Coturnix japonica: one gene and its partners. The main gene of each other region encodes a partner of the protein of the gene in region 2 in a complex. Links are inferred from orthologs where the notes say so. Each region holds a gene or a part of one and is shown on either strand. Other genes may lie near its edges.

Region 1 (6,580 bases), on a different chromosome or scaffold from region 2:
ATATTTACTTGCTGTTTTCTACCCAGCAGTCTTTAACTTAAAAGGCTTTTTAACCATATGTACTTTTATGTGCAGTCGCTGTCCCCAGAGGTGTCCAGGAAAAGGCTTGATTTGGCACTGAGGGATGTGTTTAGTGTTCATGATGTGTTGGGGTTGGACTTGGTGATCTTAGAGGTCTTTTCCAACCTCAGTGATTCTATGATTCAGCACAGAATCCATCAGATGGATTGGGTCACCTGCATCAAACAGATTGGAAGATATGAACAGGCTGCCCAAAGGTGTTGTAGATACCCCTACCCCAGAGGTGCTCAAGGCCAGGTTGGATGGGGCCTTGGGCAGCCTGAGCTGGTGGGAGGCAATCAGCCCATGGGAGGCATTGGAACTGGGTGGGCTTTGAGACCACTTCCAACCTAAGCCAATGTATGATTCTATGAATTAGGGATCCAACACAACACAGAGATGGGTGTCTCATGAGATCACTCCTCCAAAGCCTCTTCCCAGCATAGCTCACAGTAGAAAAAGCAAATCCCAGCCTTTGGCTCTCACGAGCCTACCCACAATTTGCTGCAGGTTCCCAAGGGTTTCTGATAAACAAGAATATGTCTTGACGATTATATGTCTTGAACTTTCAGCCCTTTTGGAGTCTGTCCATCCATAACGCTGCTGCTTTCTAAGGCACTGCTTTTGGGTTGAGTCCTGTGTCAAGCAGCATGAATCAAACTCTCCAGAGAAGTAAACAAAACAAACTCCTGCCTTAGAAAGTGGGTCTGAACTGCAAGGGCAGGAGTGGGACACATCTTGCTCCCTTTGGCCAGAATAGCTCCCCAGTGATTCATCCCCCCAGGGAGCTGGGGGCAACAGCAATATTAACCCTATTAAAAACTAAATAGCTGAGGCTATCCTCAGGCATGGACTTTCAGAAGGAGGCACAGCTCCAGTTCCTGAGAGCCTACAGAATCTCTCCTGCTTCAGTTCAGTTAGACGTCAGGGGGAATTTTTTCACTGAGAGAATGGTGAGGCATTGTCACAGAATTCCCAGAGAAACAGGATGCTCCATCCCTGGTAATGTTCAACACCAAAATGGGGTCTTGGGCAGCCTAATCTACTTCTTGATCTAGCAGTTGGCAACCCTGCCTGTGGCAGATGGTTTGGAACCTGATGACCCTTGAAGATCCTTACAACCCAAGCCATTCCATTCTATGATGACAAGCACCATGCACAGGTTCAAACTCCTGTCTCTCTACCATCAAGTCCACAAACCAATCGATCCCACAACACCTGCATGACTTATATCGGGCTTTTCCCCTGCCTATTGCCTTCCTTCTCTCTCTCCCATGTGGTCCTCTTTCTTTAGGACCAGGCAGCCAACAGCATTTCCCCACCATAGATTATCTGGGAGACATCAGCTTTCCAGCCCACTTGGACAGCAGATACACACAGGATTTAATGACTTCTCCTATTTCATTCACCTCCGTTTTTATATAAATAGAAAAATATATATATAAAATGGATGAGAATTGCATGAAAACGTCAGCCTCAAGACATTGAAAGAGAGGGGCTGGGCAAAGGGATGGCAAAGGCATTGAAAGAGAGGGGCTGGGCAAAGGGATGGCAAAGCATGTGAAAATGCAATAAGTTCTATCTACCCAAAGATACATGAGCTGGCACTGGAAGATGAAACTATCTGAATATGAAATTCTCTCTGTGGAGAACAAAATTCTTGGAGAAACTCAAAGCCACAAACCAAACCATAATGCTTTCTGACCAGCTTTAACCTACGCACAGTAAAACACAGAGAGAAATCAGTTTTTATTTCAGTAATTTTTCTGACAGTGGAGTCAGGTTTTTTTGATAGTAGATGTATTCAATTTGTATGATACAGCAGGGGATACTCAATACAACAGGAGATAAAATGAAGTGAGGAAAACTATTTCTGGCACATTTGACTTGCGCAACATCGATACCCTCATGTGAATTCATTCATAATTGTATTAATAAAGGCCAAGCACTGATTCAGTCACTGATCTGCTCTAGAAAGACAAGACTGATCGTAACTTTTGATGTTGAAATCCAAAACAAAATTAATCAATAGGATTATTTTAAATCTGGAAAAAGTACATCTTGGTAAAAAATCAGATTAGTATTATTACTATTTATTTTTATTTTTTTTTTTGTGGAAAGCCAAACTTTGGATTCTGTATAAGGGAAACATATGTGTACTTTGATCAAAAATACAACAGAGCTTGGCTTTAAAATGTTTTCTGTGGCTTTTATATGAACCAGGATTTTGTAGAACTTTGCTATTTCCAAATATCCTCTAAACATCAATTCCTCACGAGTTTGGATGCAACACAAACAGCAACTACCAATAAGTCACTGTTCACCCAAGGTGACATTCAAGCTGTGAGGATAGGAGCAATAGACCAATGCTGTTAACCCATACCTTGTGTTCCAAAAGGAACAGCCCAGTGACAGCACTGATAGCAAGGAGAGCAGCAAGCTAAGCAGCATTTCACTTCATTTCAGCCTGGGACAGTGTGATTTGCCCAAGGCTGTATGAGGACGCAGTGTCAGAGTGCTGGGAGAGCAGCATTAATCAGTGAGCACAGTGCCAGTCTCTGCAGCACTCCTGGTTCAGGGCACTACAATGCAGTAACACCATAAATAGAATGAAGTGCTGTGAAGAAAGGATAAAACTTATCTCTCCATCTTTTGTGGACGCTAACACAGTTAATGACTGTATGGCTACAAATGAACCAGTGCTTCCTTAACTTAAAGAGTGCAACTCTCTGCAGCTCAAGTCCCGATGACTTGAATATACAGCTGTGCAGATAGAGACATTTACATCGAGTGTTTAACCAGCGCATAAACATAGCTATCTTATTTACACAGCACCTTCCCCATCTGTGCTATTTCTAAAGGCTGCAGCTCTGCGTCCCCGCAGCCAAAAAAGCTCCCAGCTCAACTTCCCAGCGCTTCTTCACATACCTGATGTGGGGTCGGAGGAGGAGGATTCGCCTCTGCCCGCAGTTTTCTGCCTCCCAGCCGCTCCCAGCAGCCGTCCCAGCGCGAGCTGGGGAAGAGTTTCCTTGGGGAAGTCGAACCTCTGTTGCATGCCAGCTGACTAAAACTCTGCGAGCTCGGAGAGAAGTTTGAAGTCACAGGGAGAGAAAAAAAAAGAAAGAAACAACCACGCTCCCCATAGACCGGTCCTTGAATTCATTCCTTCGCAGTCATGAGCTCTTATATATTCCCAGGCTCCCATGAGCACGTGAACGCATAGCTCCGTAATAGTTTTAAAATGTGTGTGTCCTCTTGTGCTTCTCTTTATTTTCCATTTCGTTCATTCAACCTTGGCTTATTTCCTGCAGTTTCTCAGCTGGTGATTACGCTTCTCTCGTATTGACGCTCGGAACAGGCTGTGAGCACCACAGAAATCCCCTTTGCAGAGCTCGGTGATACAGGCTGGGTTGGGGCAAACTGTGGGGACAAAGTGAAGGTAGACAGCCCTATAGACCCATAATAAAGATGGGACTGTTCAAGGGTCATAGACCCACGTACACTCCTAAAAGGGCAAACCCATCAGCTCTGTGCAGGATGGAGTGTGAGGGGAGAGGGTAATTTTGGAGAGGGATGAGCACAGCACTTTGTCCTCCAGCCTCTCTCTGTGACACAACAGTGAGATGTACCCCTGGGGGAAAGGATAAACTCAATTTCATGCTTGAATGGGTAATAGCAGAAATACCTTCTGAAAAGGATGATGAGGCAGACCTGGTTTTCTTTTCCTTTGATCATTTTTTTCCTTAGTGTTTCCTTGGTCATTGGTTTGATTTCTTTCCTTGTTGTCATGTGGATGGGTTGGAGAGATGAGAATTGTTCATGTTGTCTTCTGCTCAGAAGTGCTCTGGTCACTGGGCTGGTGTCCACTGGCCTCACACACCAGTTTCCAGAAATACCAGTTCTGAGAGGGTTTTGCCAGCTCTAGACTGGATGTTCTATGATTCTAGGATCCTTAGGATGATAAGACTAGATGTCTTAGGGGCAAGCTGAGTCTTAGCTTTGTTAGTTGTGTCCTGATCTCCCTTGGACTAGTACACCCCATCGTGGAATCCCAAATGGCACCGAGGCTCACAGCCAACCTCACACCCTATGCCTATGGGGACCATCTCCACCATTGCCACTGCTGGCATTGTGCTGCAGTGCTGCACATGTGTCTGTGATGGCACAGACCTTCTCCTCTGAGACAGTGTGCTGTGCACTCTTGGAAGACGTCACAAGTGCTGGCAGATGTTAGACACCTTGCTTCCCCTGCACGAAGAAGACACTCCAAAGTGCCAGTGGTGAGTGCTAAGGACATCCGTGCCATGCAAAGCCCATAGAGGAGAAGTCTGGCTTCAGCACTGGACATTTCCCACCTTTAGACCATTATTTGCATTGATTTCCACTGGTAAATAATAATAATAATAATAATAATAACAACAACAACAAGAAAAATGCAGTGCTGACTCTTTTCTCCTGGACAGCATAAATTCTGCTCTGCTTGTCTGGATCCATTTGGTAAATCATAGAATCGTTAAGGTTGGAAAGACAGTTAAGGTCACTGAGAACAACCATCAACCCACCATACCATTAAACCATGTCCCTTGGTAAAGACAGATAAAAGGCATATCCTTTCATCCCATGTGCCAAAAACCTTTGAGGGTTCTGTTCAACACATGCCAGCATGCAGCCTTTGCCCCTCCACAACAAGTTGCTGATGGGTTTCTTGTAGCACACCAGCCTTTGTGAGTCAGAGTTTTTCCAGATCTGCAATGTAGTGGGAGGCTCTGGGTGAAAGCATCAACAGATGTGTGAGATGTGGTTCGTTAAATAGCATAGTAAATACATCTTGCATACGTTGCTGTTTTAAGTGTGTAACAAAGACGATAAATAATGGTGAGTATATAATAGAAAAGAAGCAAACAATGGCTTTATTACTTGCAGTAGCCTTGTCCAACCCAACTTTAAAAACCCCCAGTGACCCACAACTTCTGGAACAAGAGGGGAATGTTTTTAGACTGAGACAAGGGAGGTTTAGGTTGGGTATTAGGTTGGGTCTTCCAAGAGCCTCCTCTTCTTCAGGCTAAACAACCCCAACTCTCTCAGCATTATCCCTGATTGACATTACCCTGCATGGCAAATATAAGGATGGGCATGTCCTTGTGCCCTTATAGAAACTTTAATGTTTTAAGAGTATCCTACAAAGTCATGATTCACATCACAGTATTTATTTAAGTCTAATGAATGTTTTCCAGCGTGACAGCGTGACATGTATCAAGAAGTAAGCTTATGATCTGAAAGCAGCATGGCCCTTGACATTTTGTGCAATGCCTGAACTAACTATCCACTATTGCTCCATCCTGTGACATCACCCCTAGTGAATGGCTACACAGTTTGGTTTGGCACAAGCTCAACATTGTTTTCTTGAGGAATACCTGCCATCCAAGCTGAAACTCTTCTCTAATTCCATGCTATTTTAGTCAGCTAGGAATTACCCACAGAGAAAGTTCACCAAAGCACAAGGGTATGTAGTTTCACCTCCTGTCACTGAGCCAGGAAGACCTGATGGCCAATTTGATGTCACGGCAGCCATGTGGACTGGCTACTTAGAGAAGTGAATTCTGTTGTATATTCCAAGTGGAGCATGAATAGGAAAGTGATCCATCACTGAAAGGGGAAAAAGTCTTCCAAAAATAAATTTAATCCACATATGGAAACAGAAGAAATTATTCCCACAGACTCTACTATTGCTGCACCTCCAGCTCTGTTGTGTGGGTCTCAGAAGATATGGGTCAACCTATGGCTGATTCCAGGTGACACCTGAGGGATGATGTTTCTCTGGTTATATCTCTTGATCTAATAATGTCTTTCCCAGGGAGAGAACCCTGACCCCATCTGCACAGACCTGGCCCCTCCTCATACTCAGGCATCAGGATGCATCAACAAGCAAATATCACTTCAGAAAAAAGGACCACTAGTTGGTGCATGGTCACACGAGGTCAACCACGAGCCAACTCCTGCCACAGACTCAACCCCTACAGATCTCATGGGATTCCCAATCTTCCATGGGAGAAAACAGCAAGTTTGGCTGCTGGAGCTGGCATGGAGACGAATAGCCATGAATAAACAGAAACCAAAACTTCCCGCTACTGAGATGCTCCAAGGCATCACTGCCAGTATAAGCATCATTATCTTGAGATGGCATTAGTCTAGTTGCTTTTCAGAGACTACAAATTAAAAAGAAAATAATGGAAACCAGCCAGTCAGAGATGAACTGGCAGAATTAATCACTTGCAAAAGATTAACAGTTGACCATGTGCTCACCTCACGCTTAAAATAGGTTGTATCATGTCAGCAGGATGCCCATCTCTAATTATAAATGATATTTCCCCAGACTAAACAAAGTTTGATATTTCTGCTCTATTTCCTCCAGCTCTGATTATAGCCTGTTCTTTTTTTTTTTTTTTTTAAATAAAAAATAATGCACTGAGAAACAGAGCTTCTCTTTTTCTGTTCCTCCAGCTCTTTAGGGAATTTTGCC
Region 2 (5,458 bases):
ATTCAATCTCTTATTAACCCCGTGTAGGTAGTATAGACTGTTGCTAAACTATAGCTCAAGCAACCCTAAGGAAGCTATTTTAACTGTAAGAAAATGAATTTAGAGCCTGTCTTACAAGCCTAATTCTCAAAGGCAGATAGGAAACTGAAGGCTGGAGAGAGGAGTAACTGAAGGCAGTGTTTGACTCCTGTACCCATGAGGTTACCTGTATCCTAACCCGTAGAACACCCCGGGAATCCTCCCCCCTGCCTTCCCTTCCATTTTGTCTTCCTTCCAAGCAGTTCAACGTGGCCTGCTCCCTCTGCCGCCCCTCCCTGCCACTGAGCAGCAGCAGCAAGGCCTAGCAAAGCAGGCTCACCTCAAGGGGCCTGCCAGGGTTAATCTGTGGGTGGTTCTGGCACGCTCCAAGTGCCACGTATGACTGCGAAGCTCGTGTTCTTGCTCAGCTCTTTGCAGCTCCCCCTCCTTGTGCTTTTTTTCCCCTTAGTAGCAAGAAAGCTCTTCAGCTGGAAAGGCAGCAGAGCCAGCACAGGGCTCACGAGGAACAGTGACCAAAGAACAGACTGTAGCTTTTAAACCAAAACCTCCCCAGGGGCTGCTGCTGCTAAAAGGAGATTAAGAGAGAATTCCTGTGCCAACTGGCATCTGGATTTCCCTCTCTTTCCCCCTCTCCAGGGCAGCCACTAAATTCCTGGACTGTCTATCAGCATAGCAGTGAAGTTGCAATGCATTTACCTGCTCCCTCCCTCGGCAGGTGTGTGCGTGGATAGCCGCACAGCAATAAATTAGTGCTGCGGGGCTGATCAGAGCGCTGCTTTTCATCCCTACACCAAGAAGACAGGTCAAGGAGCCCTGGGGAGATGAAAGGGATAAAGCTGAGCATCAGGGAGTGCCTCTCAGAGCACGTGTGCCCCAGCCAAAATGTCATGCAGCCTGGCAGGCTCCCTCTGCCGACCCACCCTTGCTGATCCTGCCAGCTGCTGATGGAGCAGAGTAGTTTATGGGTGTGCAGCTTGTGATTACATGTTACGGCAGCATTGCAGCAAGGTGTGTGGAAGCAGCTACTGAAGTGCAGGAGCAGGAGCTGCATTCCAAGCTGACCACGCAGAGCCCTGGCCACAAGCAATTAAGTTGTTCCATGTCGTGACATTCAGCTGCTGGGGACCAGGAAGTGGGAAGGGACAGAGACAAATTTCTTTGTGGTCTTTAGAACATTAAGTAGTTGTGGTTGCAGGAGAGGCAGCCTCTGGGTCTCATCTGACATGCAAGCAAGTACTCAAAGTTTGTAATTTTCAGAGTATCTGCGGCCGAAAAAAGCACACTTTACAAAACAGTGTGTTGGTTACTTGCCAGGGCCACATCTGTGAGCATTTTATGTGTATGAAGCGTTCATGGTAAATGTGAGGGGGCTGGCCTTTGTGTACGAGTCTGTACTGGCAGAACTTAGATATTCCAGTGAATGTATGATTTTTGTCAGCTGTGACAACTGCAGCGCCCTGATTATTTCAACAGCACTCTTGGAAATACGTTGTGATTGAGGGGAGCTTTATATAAACCTATCAAAATCAGACGCCAGAGGTGACGCGTCTGTCGGAGGGACGTGAGAAGGGCACACCCACAGCAGACGCTGTTTGAAGGTACAAAGGAATTTCCATTCTGAGCTCTCTGGCTGACCTAAATTCTGCCCGTTTCCTTGAAGAGATACTCAGGAAAAGATTCTAAAGTAACCAAGTATTGCCACAGTAGAAGCAGTTTACAAACAAAAAACCATCCAACCCTTCAACAGCGTCATTGTGGGGAGAGGAGAAAAAAAAAAGACCATCTTCCCCCCAAAATATTTATTTTTTTACAATGTTTTTGAGATTAATATTATTTTTTTTAAAGTCTTGGCAGGTGAGGCTGGGGCCACATTGAGATCACAAACCACAACAGACAAAGGTCCTCAGGGTGTTATCAATTCATGAGTGAATGGCTCCAAAATCCAGGTACCCCCAGATAGCGCTCCTGCCCTGACCCACAAACCATCTTTCAGCAACTCCAGAAAGGGAAAAGAGCTGAATAGAAACATCAGTCCTCCTAAAAAAGGACTCAGCACCCTCTTTGCTTGCCTTTGCCCACCCTCAGCAGGCTGAATGGGAGCCCTGCAGTTTGCATTTGGAAACCAATAGCCAGGATCTGCCAACTGAAGTTTCAGGTCTGTCAGAAACACAACTATAGATACAGGCCTCCTGGATCACAGTTCTGAGGAACGTAAGTCTGTGTGTCTCTCTGAGCATCTCTTCTCTGAGCAGCTTCTCTTCTTGGTGCATTTTCTTTCTCTAAAGAAACTTCTAGGATTTTCTCCTGCAGGAGGGAAAGCCTTCATAGTTCTTCAGGCCAGTGGGGAGGGCAGAGGTCCCAAGGGAGCTACAGCAAGAAGGGGAACACTGCCCCATTTCCAATCCCTCCTTTTAACTGCTCTTTCTAATCCTTTGCCTTCCCAGTTCGACTACCCCAAAATTCAAATACACAGCAGTTCCTTCACTGTCCTTCTCTTCTGCATCAACTGTCCAGTCATTTTGGAGTGTGGCCTTTATGTTGCCAGAGCAGCTCCCAGAGGGAACGCAACACCAGCAACAAGACCGAGAAATGTTCCAGAAGAGATTCCCAAGGGCTGCCAGACCCAAAGCCACAGGGTTTAGCACTCGGCCCTGTGCATGCATAGTCTCTGACCCCCAGTTCCTTTTGTGCTAGCCTTGGAGCAGAATGGGTGCTGACAGTTTCTCTCTAGGCTTTGGGCAGCCCAGGGTGCCTTTCAGCTGCACTTGCAGGATTTCACCACCATATTGGAGAGCTGCTCCACTTTGGGTGTCCTCCCAACATAGTACAAGATGGTCAGTGGCTCCAGGTCCTGTGGGACGCAGCAGGGTGAAGCAGATGCCTCAGGGTTCAGGGTGTTGTACAAGCCCAGCACCTGTGGAAACAAATGTAAATGTGGTGACAAAGTCAGGAATCCATTTAAGTTGGTCGAGAACAGGAAGGTACTGCAAGCAAACATGTCTCCAGGTATGTGGACTGCGCTCATCGGGGGCATTTCCCTGATGTGACTAATATTCTTATCATGGCCTGCTCCTGCCCAGGCCTGATCCAGAGCCTTTTGCTTTTTAATCGTAGCAATGTAGACTGGCTGATGCCTAAGGGTGGAAGAAGTACAAGTAGTTCACTCCCTTAATCTCTAATTTGGTACAGCGGATTGTGCCACTTCTGCTTGTAAGAAGGCAGGGTGTAACCAGCCTGGGGCTGCGTTGTCTTTGGTTCCATTACAGAAACCAGAACAAAGAAAATCAATGCTGCTTATTTCAACCAACATCTCTAGATAGTGCTGGATGGATGCCTGTCCTTTCGAGTAGCCACAGTTCCCTCCCAGCTTTGAACTGTCCAATGCTTTCTTTCTCCACTCCATCCCCCACATCATTACACTGTAATGCAGGAGCCGGGACAGTGTCCTGTGGGACCCTGTTGGCTTCATTCTCCCAGCTGGCCCCAACCCACAGACAACTGTACACTCCAGCCATGTAACCACCATGAAAGAGCTGACATGTGTCTTCCCAGAGCTGGCTGCTCTTCAGTGGTACCCTAAGTCCTGATGTTTCCCCATCTCATACAAGAGACAGCATCCTCTTCCTCAACATTTGCCTGGAAGCATGGACTCAGTACTGACTCCATAGGAAGACCGTTTCTCCCTGCTAAACTACTTAGACTCTTTGCTGCACTTTCCTTGTAGTTTTTTGCAGGTATTGATCTAAACTGCTCCTGCTACTTTGAAGAGCCCAAATGCCATCAGACTGAGGGAGGTGCTGACAGGGCCACAAGGATAATATGCTGGATGTACCGTGCTGTGAGTGGTGTCTGCACTGCGGAGGTACGGACATGGACCCGAACAGAAGTTGGCAAAGTAGCCTTTAGGCTCATGGACCCATTTCCAGCCCAGGTCCTGTCGGAAGTCGATGTAAAGAGGACGCACACAGCAGTTCTCCTCCAGGTTCCTGAAACACAGAATGGACATGAAGTGAATCTAAAGAGGGATCTTTTATGTGCTTGCATAAAGCAGCTTCCAGAGCAGAAGAACCAGGACCAGTATTGCCCGGTGGGATGTGGTATTCACCTGCACTGGGTGCACAGGAATGGCAGAACCTGGCAGAAGCTGGCAGGCCAGCAGCCTGGCACTGCATGCACATGCTGCCAGGCTGTTCTGCCACGGGCCTGGTCCCTGCCCAGGCTGTACTGCACGAGGCTGATCACAAGCCTCCCGCTAGCCAGAAACTTGGCCAGAAGTGATTGCTGGGCCAGGCAGCATCCCCTTCTTGAAGGCTGCAAGGAGCACCAGCTGAGCTACACTGCTCACGTGGCCCCTGCAGAACCACAGTGAATTGCAGCCCCCTCGGTGGGCACTGCCTTGCCCAGTGATGTGAAGTCTCACCACTTTCCCACCTCAGGCATGGGACCCGGCCACTGGCAGGATTCTCACTTACCGGAAGCAGTAGTTGGTATCCAGGGCCCGCTTCTTTCTCTGGCCTCCCAGTGTTGGGCTCTCCAGGCGATGTGGGGGTAACATCATCAAGATGAGGTGGGGATTATGCAAGTCTTTCTGCTTCTTCAGGCGCCCCAAGTCCCCACGGCCATAGTCATCCTCACTGTCAATGCCTTCAGACAGAAACAGGATCCATGAAGAGGACATCAATATGGAAGTGAAGGATGCAACAAGACTTTTCAGTACACTTAACACTCTCTGCCTGCCCTGAACCAGGGCAAAAGAGACTCAGGCACCTCATGTACTCGCTCTGGGACTTCTTCCCTCCTAGGGAACTCTTTACTCCTGGTGCATCTGACTGCTGCAGGCCTGAAATAGAGGCCTGTGGGCCACCTGTTTTACCATTTGCAAACTGCTGGTGGGGCCATTAATCCATCCCACTTGCTGTTGGCTTCAGTCCCAGGACAAGCAAGAAGATGAATGGTCTAAAGAAGATGTCAGATCATTGGCACTCTGCAAAACAGCCTCAGAAATTGAGCCTGTGGGGGCCAGTGGCTGCAGCCCAGGGCTGCAAGCCAGGAGGTTCCTACATTTTAGGCCAGCCAAGCCACTGACTCTCTAGGCCACCTCATGCAGGATGCCTGACTTCCCCGTGTTTCAGTCACCCTAACTGGAAAGCAGAGCTGAGAATCCATCAAGCTGAGCTTCCCGGAGAGACTCTGAAATACAAAGCTATTCCTTTTGCAGAAATGCACGCAAACCCCATCCAGACTGCACTTCTCTCTCACTTCCAACCTAGGTACGAAGTGGGTGTACTTGTAAGATCAACATGCAAGCCCAGCACTGTGTGTGCTTTAAGACAAATGTTATGAGGGGCAAAATCCTCAAATAAGCAAGGGAAGATCTATTTGTTTTTTCACACACTCCTGGCTTTCCTTCCAGTAGCTT
Region 3 (5,902 bases), on a different chromosome or scaffold from region 2:
TGTTGCTCTTGCTCTATCCATTCTGATTTGTGTTTCTATAATATAAACAGAATGAACATATTTAAAAAAAAAAAAAAAAAAAAAAAGGAGGTGGAAAATGGTAATTCTATGAGCATTTATCAAGTATTAAACCTGTTTTCTGCAGCTATGCTTTCTTAACATGAAAAGCAGACTCCTGCCAACCTCATGTTGTTAGGGTTTAATCATGTTTGCGATGCTTATGTTTGCTAGTATATTTCACAAGTGGCCACTAAATACTATTACCAGCTACTGCACGTTCATACGTAATGTGAGATTCTTCTTTGTGCATTAAAAATTGTAAGTAATTTGTAGGGAAAAAAAGGATAAATGTAAAATATGTTTTTATTTTTCCTAGGTACTTTTCAATGTGTCAGTCACAGTGAAAGGATGTGATACATCAGGGGGAAGAAGTTATGCAATACTTAAGCCTATTGGTTTCAATGAAACCACTACTATTAATGTACAGAAAAGCTGTGCCTGTCAGAATGGAAACAACACAAAGCCCAAGAGAGTATGGACTGATGAAACCTTTCCTGATGGCAAACAGCCCCATTGCAGTGACAGCAGTTGCAGCTACAGCAGAGAGACGTTTCCTTCTGAGGAGTGCAGGCAGCACCAGGACCAGCCCATCTGCAGTGGCCAAGGAGATTGCATAGAGGGAAAATGTTTCTGCTACAAGAACAAGCTAGGCAGGGTATATGGCAAATACTGTCAAATGGATGATTTTTCTTGCCCATATCACCAGGGAAACTTATGCTCTGGTAAGCTGCAGAATTTAGGTCTGTGCTTTACTTTTCTTGTGTTTTCTTTTCTGAAACTTATGTACATTATGCATCTGAAAGAAATGATGTAAAGCTGTCAAGTACAAGAATTATGTGTGCAGAATTAGGAGATATATGTGAGATGCTGAGAGAATAGAAGGAGCCATAACATCTACATGTAGTTCTGATTTTCTAACACCCTGAATCAGTCTTGTCATAGATACAGTGATATCTGGTTTCTAATACTGATACATATGCAAACACTTAAAGTACCTTTAAATTAATGATATTAAGGAAAATAGATTTTAATCAGAATCATTATCTCTACTGGAATATATTTTTTACCCTCAGAAGTTATATTTCAAGTACTTTAAAACCTGTACTGCTGTTCTGCATCCTCTCATTTCACTCTGTACTGAGTGAGGCATTGGCTGATGTGTTGCCAAGCTACTCTCAATGATGTTTGAAAAGTCACAGCAGTCAGGTGAAGTCCCTTGTGCCTGGAAAAAAGCAACGTCACACCCATTTTCAAGAAGGTTAGAAAGGACAATCCAGGGAATTACCAACTTGTCAGCCTCATCTCTGTGCTGGGGAAGACCATGGAGTGGATCCACCTGGAAGCTATGCTGCAACACATGGAGAGCAGGGAGGTGATATAGAACAAGTAACATGGCTTCACCAAGTCCTGCTTGACCAACATATTGGCCTTCTATGGTGGTGTAACAGCATCAGTGAACAAGGAAAAGTCACTAAAGTCAACTGTCTGAACTTTTGTTCAGTAAGGCTTTTGACACAGTCCCCTACAACAACCTTCTCTCCAAATTGAAAATATATGGATCTGACAGGTTGGCTGTTCAATGGAAAAAGAATTCCCATTTACTCCCCAGCGAATGGTGGTCAATGGTTCAATGTCTAAATGGAAATCAGGAATGAGTTGTGGACCTCAGGTGTCAGTGCTAGTACAGATGCTCTTTAATATCTTCATCAGTGATACTGACAGTGCAATCAAGTACATCCTCAACAAGTTTGCAGATGACACCAAGCTGTGTGGTGTAGTCAACATGACCAAGAAATAAGATACCATCCAGAGAGACCTAGACATGCTTGAGCAGTGGGCCTAGGTGAACCTCATGAAGTTTGACAAAGCCAAGTCTTGTATCTGGATCTCATCAACCCCCAGTATCAATGCAAGCTGGATGGAAGGATAGAGCACAGCCCTGGTAAAAAGGATTTAGGGACACTGGTGGATGGAAGCAGGATACAAGCCAGCAATTTGCCCTTGTAGCCCAGAAAGCCAACTGTGTCCTGGGCTGCACCAAGGGAAACGTGTTCACCAGGTCAAGGGAGGTGATCCTGCCTCTCTGCTCTGAGCTAGTGAGACCTCACCTGGAGTACTGTATCCAGATATGGATAGATACATCTCTCAGTATAGGAGAGACATGAACCTGCTGGAGCGCTTCCAGAAGAGGGCCACAAAAATGATCCACAGCATGGAACACTTCTCCTGTGAGGACATATGAGAGAGCTAGGACTGTTCAACATGGGGAAGAGAAGGCTCTGAGGTGACCTGATAGTGGCCTTTCTGTATCTAAGGGGGATATAAGAAAGAAGGGGACGGACTTTTATCAGGATCTCTTGTGACAAGACAAGGAGAAATGGTTTCAACTGAAAGAGAGATTTAAACTGGATATATGCCAAAAAAAAAAAAAGTTACTACAGGAGTGGTGAGGCATCAGAACAGGTTTCCCAGAGAGATGGTGGAAGACCTGTCCCTGGACATATTCAAGGTCAGACTGGAGGGATCTCTGGGTAACCTGGTAAAGCTCTAGATATTCTTGTTCATTGCAGAAGACGGGACTAGATGACCTTCAAGAGTCACTTGCAGCTCAAACAATCCTATGATTTTATGATTCATTCCAACACAAAAACTTGTTGTTCATGTTCTCAGTCTTCTCCTCTGACCACAGCAAAGTCTGGGTATTTAGTTTTTCTTATCCTAAGCAGAACTTTCAAATTTGCAAGGTCCCAAAGCCTGTGATGCAGTGGAAGAGGAAACAGGGAGATCTTTGTCTAAGACATGTTGGAGATTCTTACTTTGATGGAGTCTCCTGCCCAAGCAACATGGGACCATGTCTCTGTATCTGCCCCTTAGTGGGATATTTTACAGCACAGAGCCCAGGCAGAACAAGAGGCAGCCTATACTTTACTCACACTGCCCCCCGCCCTCAACCCTTAGGCAATTCCATGTAGTTAGATGGGACTGTCTTTCTGCATCTGCTCTGCAGGTCCTTGAAGCACAAGAAGGGCCACTGCAGTACATGCAAAGTCTATGTACTGCTGAGGGCATGGCTGAGGAAGTCTCATAAGATTTGCTATAGCTGCAAGCAACAGCTGCATTGGACTCTCTGTTTTTATATTTCCTAAAGGTGTTTTCTTACGTTGTAAAACTATGGCTAAACATTACCGGCACATCAATTGTACACCTGTCTTAATATACTGCAATGTGAAAAATGTCTGGATTTTGCCCTAAAGCATCCACTGATTTGCCACCAGAGGTTCTCCATAGCCTTTGAGCCCTTGAGGCTGTGCAATTTAATTTTCATACTGCATTCAGTTATCTGTCCCTTTAAAAGGCTGAAAAATGTTGTAATGCATGCTTCTGAAAAGAAAATGAAAAGAACTGGCTTGAACATATGAACTTGATACTCCTTCCTCTCAGAATTTTGCAATTTATTTGAGCTAAATGCTTAATTGCTACAGAGTAGTTTGTTTAGTTTGCTTGAAGGCTGTTTTCCTGAAAGTTGTGTAATTTTTAAACTCTTCTGCTTTGATCCATGACAACAAGGAAAACTGTGGTAAAACATTTTAGGACACAATCAAGGTAGCAGCTTTTGCTCAAATTAGCAGCAAACAGCAGCCATAAATGTGTATCATGGTGATAATTTCAGCCTAATTGTTAACTTTAAAAGCTTATCAGCAGGCCAAGGACTACATTAGCTGTTTGATATAAGGCACCTGCAATACAAACATATGTATATAAAAATTGACTTTCTGTGTTTTCATAAAAGCATTTGACTCAAGGTTATCTGATGTTTTAGGTAATGGTGAATGTGAAGCTGGTAAATGTAAATGCTTTGCTGATTGGGAAGGTGACCGTTGCGAGTGTTCATTACAATCAGCAAAGCAGTGCCTGAATTCCAAGGGCCAGATTTGCAGTGGAAGAGGAAACTGTGTATGTGGAAAATGTGAGTGCACTGACCCAAGAAGCTTTGGCCGTTTGTGTGAATTCTGCCCTGCTTGTAACAAAGCCTGTGAAGAAAACTGGTAGGTTACTTGTGCCACACTTCATGTTTAACTCTGTAGTGTTGAAGCAAGGAGAAATATTTCTTCTTGGCTATGTATACTATGTGCTATTTTCCTTAGATGTTTAGATTATAGGAAACTTGAAACATTTCCTACCCAAGGATTTTTTCTATGTAGTAGGGTTTTCCTGCTCACAAAACAGCTGAATGTCCACATCTGTGCTCATCAGTATTTCTGCTTTGGGAAGTCATAGGTGATATGTGGTATGAGTATGGCTTTTTTCATATATACTAAGGGACAGTTCTTCATATAAAATGTTCTGAGTTGAGAACAGAGTCTATAATTTTGGGATTTTAGAAATGGACACTAGATCCTGCTCTTAAGTGCCACTAAGTCCAGTAATATTTCCTGAATTTCTCTCCACGCTCTCCTTGTGCCTACAGTCTGAAGGGAGGAGGAGTGAACAAGAGCAGTACCCATGCACTGTCACTGTGTTTTTTAAGGTAGAGTGAGTGAAACCTTGTCCGTGGTTTCTCTGGCCCTCCTGAAAAATAACACAAATATCGTCTCACATCCCAATTTCTACAGCATGGTGACAGAACAGCCTTTAGTTGGGGAGGGAAATGCAGTAGAAACAGAAATGTTGATTATTTGTACTCATTTGAAATATAGTTCATGTGGTAAATGCACAGGGGAGACAAATTGGACTGTATCTGGAAAGGTGACTGCTAATAGATTCGCCGGATAAAATGAAGTTAGCCTTGCTGGCTTAGACTAATTCATTAGACTAATTCAGTATCACTGTGAAATGTGTGCCTCTAATACATTCAGAAAATGGCATACATTCATTTGAAAAAGAATCAAGGCTTTTCTGGTATCGCCTGAGATGTCCATCCTCTTGCAAAGCTATAAAGTGAAATTAGTGAGGCTGCCATGCTGTCTCCCACCTTGCTGATGATCTGTATAAGCTACCCAGCACTGAGAACTTATATGTTTTTTCCTAACAAAGCATCAAAAAAGTTCTTGACTATCACAGCATATTTTCCAGTGATAGACAAGGAAGACTAAGAATGAACAGGAGGCTGACAGTGGAAGAGATGGTGCAAGACCCCTGAGGAACACATCTGAGAATGCAAAACAGGGGCCGGATGAAGGGGGCTTGAAACCAAACAGATGTTCTACTTACTAATTCTGAGTGGTCAGCCTTGAGAAGTGTCACAGGGATAAAATGCTGAGGAAGGCATCTCATTTCAGAAAAAATAAATAAATGTCGCAATGTTTTTACTAACAACAGGAAAACAATACGTCAGCTTGTTGATAGAATCTCTGTAAGGAGAGAGCAGAGAAAAACAGAATGATTTAATTACATTTTTCTTACAGGAATTGTGTTCAGTGCCATCATTCTAACAATGCATCTCAAGCTAAACTTGACCAGTGTAAAACCTCATGTGCTTACTTATTGCATTATGTTGACCAAACTTCAGGTATGTAGTATTTTCTAGATAATTTTGGTGAGAGTTGAAAATCTGTCCAGATTAATGTTAGAAAACATCACTGTTACCTTTCAGAAGTATGTCAGTATTATTACAATAAGAAAGAAGGAAAGCGGGAAAAAAGAAATTACTCCTAGCTTCAGGGAAAGTAAAAGATAAATAGTGACAGGAAATGTAATTGGCAAGCATTGCTAAATAGATTTCCCATTTCCTTGAGAAATCACATCTAATAATAATGAATCCTGCCTGAGCCATGCTTGAAGAAATATTTGTAAAAGTCCATTATGACATTTGCATGTTTTATTACATTGGATATGTTTACAT
Region 4 (4,576 bases), on a different chromosome or scaffold from region 2:
TACAAGCCAACAGAAGAAAGAAGTGAAAAATGACTGCACATCTCCTGAAGACAAAATTGTTAGCATTATTAAATGCACTGCTGTCATTTGTATGAGTTTATATACGTCAACTGTCCTCCTAAACAATGTGGATAACTAAATTCCCACTACAGTGCAGAGAAGAGGGCAGGATATGCCATGAACCTGATGACATGGAGCCTTCCCTCCCCTCTAAGGTCCCTGTGCAAAAGCAAAGGCACTGGGCGTTGTCTCTCACTTTTCTCTAGAAAGCGTGGAGCAGAGTCAGGCTGCGGTATGTCAAGCAATTAGATATGCTGTACCAGGAAAAAGTCATTTGTTCTCACAGCAATGCAATCAAGGTAAAAGGGAAGGGGAAAAAATAAGTACAGTCTGTGTTCAGAATGCAGAGCAAATATAAAACATCTGCTTGGATTACTGCTGGATGCGTCCAGTTGTGTGCGGTTTGGGGGAGGGGAAGGGAGGAGGGGAAAATCTCATCCCGCTGCTATTTTGCAACCTGCTTGCAAGCAGCATGAACTCAAAGCAATAAACACGCAACGCTAATGACCTCTGCATAGAAACACAGGTGGGAGGGACCAAGCCTACTCACGCTCCCTCCCACTGTGGGAGGCTGTGAGGACCTTGGGGTTAAGGCAAGAGGGCAAAGACATCCCCGAATCTTCCGCAACACGCTGCAGGCAGGAGCACATAGTTAACAACTGCAAAGCCAGATCTGTCTCTTTGCCATGAGACTGCTGTTGCAATTGTCGTCTCCTGGGTCACAGCTGGCTGTGTACAGCACATGCTTCAAAGCCATCTTCTTATTGCTCACTGTTCCCATCTTTTTGGCAGAGTGCTTAGTGCACAATTGCTAGTGTCCTGATACACCAGCCTCCCCAGGAGCTTTCCCTACGGGGAGGGATCTCTAATGCACAGGTAATTTCCTGCAAGCATTTTTTAAACTCTTTTCTTCAGAGCATGGCTGTTTACAGATATATAGATAGATATATACATACACAGACATTTTTAATAGATATGTATATATATATATATATATAAAAATAGCAATTTCATAGTTATATACAGGCATTATTAAAGTGCATAATGTTATTGGCTATTCTCAAATCTCTTTTCCTGAGGAAGTGCTAACAGACTTAGCTCCTCCTATGACATGACACTGGCTGCCTATGCTGGGGTACGACACCCACTCCCTGGCTTATAACTCCCATGCATACATCTCCCTGCCCAGAACCACAGCTCAAAGGGAGTAGTGACAGCCTCAGTCCTCCAGGAAGCAAGTCAAGGCACTGATTGTGACTTCTTCCTCTGCCAAGGTAACGTGCCTAGGAGCGACCTCCCTCCATTTTGGAGCTCTTGGGTGCATGCTACTTGGCGGTGGTCACAGAGCCATCCTCGGGGATCTTCTCCTCTGAACAGCTTCTCCCTGAGAGCTTGTCGTGGTGCTTAAACTCACTGAAGCGCTCTGCCACACACTGTGCTGTGAGCCGAGCCTCGGGGTCGTGGTCCCAGCACTCGATAAGGGTCTCACACACCATCTGGATGCCCTGTGGAGAACACAGAGAGAGCACAGTGGTGAGGGACATGCACAGCTAGACCAGGTTGCTCAGGGCTTGATCCAGCTCAGCCTTGAAAGTCTCCAGGGATGGGGCATCCACCACATCCCTGGGCAACCTGTTCCAGTGCCTCACCCTCCTCACTATAAAAGACTTTTTTGTTTGGACCAATAGAATAAAGTAGTTTTTGGTCTAATAAATACAATCAGAATAGCTAGATAACAACTTCCCACTCAACCCATCCCTTTGCATGGCTGAATCCTATTTGTGCTGGTTTTTTTTGAACAGAATCCTGATTGCCAGCAATATCAGTCCTGACATCAGCCTTTATGAATTCTCCACAGACAAACTAAAACTGTGTGCAAATATGGGCCGCAGTCCCACAAACACTTAAACACATGTCACTCACAGATGTAACTATTTAACCTTCATTTCAATGCCGATGCACATGTTTACAGGAGCAAAAAAACAGTTGCATCTTTGTAATGCATTTTATAAACATGAGGTATTTGCCAGGAAATGGTGTGTTTTGCTTTATGACACTAAGAGCCCATTAAAAGGGATTTATCTTAAACTTCTTATTTAAAAAAATAACATTTCACAACACTACATTAATTGTATAATTTACCTAATTGTGATGTTGACTGATGTCAATGTTAATAGCAGAACATTACTGTCTGTATACAAATAACATTAGTTTTCTGATGGCATTGAAATTACAAGCAGTAAATTAAATTAAATATTAAACATTAACTTGAAATCAATAGTGCAACAAATCTCATTAAGGGGGAAAAAATGTAATATGTAAATCCATTCCAGAATTTTATCATGATGAATAATGAGTTCATTACAAAAATACGACTGCAGAGGAAGGAAATGAATATGGAAGAGCTATTACAGTAAGAGCAGCTTCTGAGGAGTTCAAAGCAGATCCTCAGCTGCTGCAAACTGTCACAGCCCCGCTGAAGCCCATGCGTCACCCAATTGTAGGTAGCGCAATGTAAAGCGCTGAAGGGATTCAGACAAAGGGAATTAAATCCACCTTCGCTAAATGTCCTGGGAGCATGTTATTGGACATTCACTTCCTGCCTTAGATTCTTAACTGAACCTTGCTGGAGCCAGCTGTGCCCACTCCAGTCACACACAAACACAGGCAATGCATCCCAGCTGGCAGGACATCCTGTGTTTTGCAATGTGGGTAGCACCAACTGCCCCCAGCACTGCTGGAACCCTGAGCCTAACATGTGCAAGGAGCTGCTGGTGCTCCCTCACCAAGGCACAACCAGCTGCGTCGCTGCTCCTACTGTCATGCCATGTGGAGTCTGCAGGAGTAGCTCAGCCCTGAATGCACACAAGTCTCTGGGCCACTTAACGATACCCATGACCTCTTCTAAGTGTCAGTGACTTCTGCTTCATTGGAGCCTTCATCATCTTCTACTACATGTATGTCATCTGACTCTTCCCAAATGCAGAACAGAAATATTTGCTGACAACTTCCACCTCTGCATTAGCATAAGCAGGACAGGCAGTGATGGATTGGTACGAAGCTAGATTTCCTTTTGTTCTTGAGAAAATGTACTGTCCTCAAGTCTACTGACTACAGATCTTCCTGTTGTTCTTCTATTTCCCTAATCAGTTCTCTACACTACTTCATTTCTTTTGACATGTTAAGACCAGGACTTTGGGATATTCTCAGAAATGTTCTCACATTGTTGCTAATCTTAAGCATTTTCTTCAATTTTCTTTTTCCTTCCCAGTGTCCTGGCTCAGGATTCTTTCCTGCTTTGTTAATTGGGCTCTTCTAAATTTCCACGTTTGCTGCTGGTTTGGACTTCTTTTTGCCTTAGTGGAAAACAAATAGCTGCAGTCAGCTCCTGATGACTTTTACCTGTTCATACTTAATTAAATATATATATATATATATATATATATATATAAAATTGCAGTCTTTTCTATTCTGTACTCCTGAGCATGAATGTAACCTTCCCAGTTCAACAGATCAGTTAGAAGACAGCTGTAGCTATAGATCATAGAAATGTCAAAGGCCTTTCAGTACTGGCAACATCAGGTATTCAGATGTCCCTCAAAACACAGCTCTCCTCCTCAGTGAGAGCATCCCTCCTCAGTAACCCTGCTCATTGCAGATGACAGGTCCAGGAATGGCGTGCACTCTGCTGCAGTCATTAGGGAGCAGATACGTTGCTCCTGGTTGGAGGAATGACTGATTACAGCCACTCACAGGACCTTTCCCAATTAAGTGTTAGACTACAATTTTAACATTTCAACTGGAATGAAAAAATACGGAGTGTTACTGCTCCTGATGGAAATACCAGCTGATCTTGTTTGCCTGGCTTTTATAAATGTTTGTGATGCTTTCCTTTTGTCTGTAAAGACCACTCAACATATTTCACTGATAAGTGGAATGACCAAGCCTCACTTCTCTGATATGGTTCTCATTTTATCTCTTCTGATAAAACCGCTCAGAGCAGAAGTTAAGGAATGCATGCTTTTGGCTCTTTTCCATTCAGCAACTGAGAAGTTGGGCTGCGAATATCACCTAGGAAGTGCCACCATGATGTGTAAGAACAGAGAAAGCTGACAGAGAGCTTCCCAACATGCCAATGACTGACACTACACTGCCCTGAATAAAAACAAACAGACTTGCTGACGACTCACTTCCTATTTTCTTAAACCTGCCAGCAGCTGGGATGCCAGTATTACTTTTCTCTGTGATAAAAAGTGCTGAGCTTTGTTTTCTCTGCTGATGGAACCCGTGTGTAAAGCTGCTCTCTTTGACCTTTCAGAGCCTGCACGCAGTATTCTTTAAGGCCCTAATTATTCTGTGGCTGTCTGGATGACTGTGGGGTCTCAGGTTTCTATTATTTTTTGTTTTAATTTGGTCACTTTCAAATTACACTGGTGGGCAGCAGAAATCCCAGTGATTTGGGAGCCGGCATGATGCAGAGCACTGTGGTGTCTGAACTATGGGCAGCACCAGTGTG

The links.
Region 1: the proteins of TGFB3 (region 2) and LRRC32 are in contact, whole or in part, in a cryo-EM structure (PDB 8VSB), measured with the Homo sapiens proteins. The link is inferred for Coturnix japonica from reciprocal best matches to the Homo sapiens genes TGFB3 and LRRC32. Residues at the interface, in NP_001316868.1 of Homo sapiens: Leu24, Ser25, Thr26, Cys27, Thr28, Leu30, Pro347, Pro349, Tyr350, Leu351, Arg352, Thr357, His358, Val361, Leu364, Leu368, Ser375; in NP_001122394.1 of Homo sapiens: Ala110, Ser135, Tyr137, Ser160, Val184, Met186, Asp187, Ile188, Asp190, Phe193, Leu202, Leu204, Arg206, Asn207, Ser208, Thr210, Cys211, Ile212, Ser213, Asp214, Phe215, Ser216, Leu217, Cys227, Asn228, Ser229, Lys254.
Region 3: the proteins of TGFB3 (region 2) and ITGB8 are in contact, whole or in part, in a cryo-EM structure (PDB 8VS6), measured with the Homo sapiens proteins. The link is inferred for Coturnix japonica from reciprocal best matches to the Homo sapiens genes TGFB3 and ITGB8. Residues at the interface, in NP_001316868.1 of Homo sapiens: Gly262, Asp263, Leu264, Arg266, Leu267, Lys268; in NP_002205.1 of Homo sapiens: Ser156, Ala157, Ser158, Asn161, Arg206, Gln210, Cys211, Tyr214, Leu216, Ser247, Gly248, Asn249, Ile250, Asp251, Thr252, Glu254.
Region 4: the proteins of TGFB3 (region 2) and TGFBR2 are in contact, whole or in part, in a crystal structure (PDB 9B9F), measured with the Homo sapiens proteins. The link is inferred for Coturnix japonica from reciprocal best matches to the Homo sapiens genes TGFB3 and TGFBR2. Residues at the interface, in NP_001316868.1 of Homo sapiens: Arg325, Lys331, Trp332, His334, Tyr390, Tyr391, Val392, Gly393, Arg394; in NP_003233.4 of Homo sapiens: Leu50, Phe53, Asp55, Ser72, Ile73, Thr74, Ser75, Ile76, Glu78, Val100, Asp141, Glu142.

What each region holds. Positions count from the first base shown.
Region 1 is NC_029516.1:173,276,049-173,282,628, reverse strand, and holds the start of LRRC32 (transforming growth factor beta activator LRRC32), read right to left. Parts: upstream 3,551-6,580; 5' UTR 2,989-3,550; intron 1-2,988.
Region 2 is NC_029520.1:34,880,339-34,885,796, forward strand, and holds the end of TGFB3 (transforming growth factor beta-3 proprotein), read right to left. Parts: intron 4,684-5,458; coding exon 4,512-4,683; intron 4,026-4,511; coding exon 3,872-4,025; intron 2,954-3,871; coding exon 2,795-2,953; 3' UTR 1,789-2,794; downstream 1-1,788. UniProt on the Homo sapiens protein: Transforming growth factor beta-3 proprotein: Precursor of the Latency-associated peptide (LAP) and Transforming growth factor beta-3 (TGF-beta-3) chains, which constitute the regulatory and active subunit of TGF-beta-3, respectively.
Region 3 is NC_029517.1:27,615,019-27,620,920, forward strand, and holds part of ITGB8 (integrin beta-8), read left to right. Parts: intron 1-376; coding exon 377-782; intron 783-3,880; coding exon 3,881-4,106; intron 4,107-5,465; coding exon 5,466-5,569; intron 5,570-5,902. UniProt on the Homo sapiens protein: Integrin alpha-V:beta-8 (ITGAV:ITGB8) is a receptor for fibronectin. It recognizes the sequence R-G-D in its ligands.
Region 4 is NC_029517.1:36,726,243-36,730,818, reverse strand, and holds part of TGFBR2 (TGF-beta receptor type-2), read right to left. Parts: intron 1,566-4,576; coding exon 1,386-1,565; 3' UTR 1-1,385. UniProt on the Homo sapiens protein: Transmembrane serine/threonine kinase forming with the TGF-beta type I serine/threonine kinase receptor, TGFBR1, the non-promiscuous receptor for the TGF-beta cytokines TGFB1, TGFB2 and TGFB3.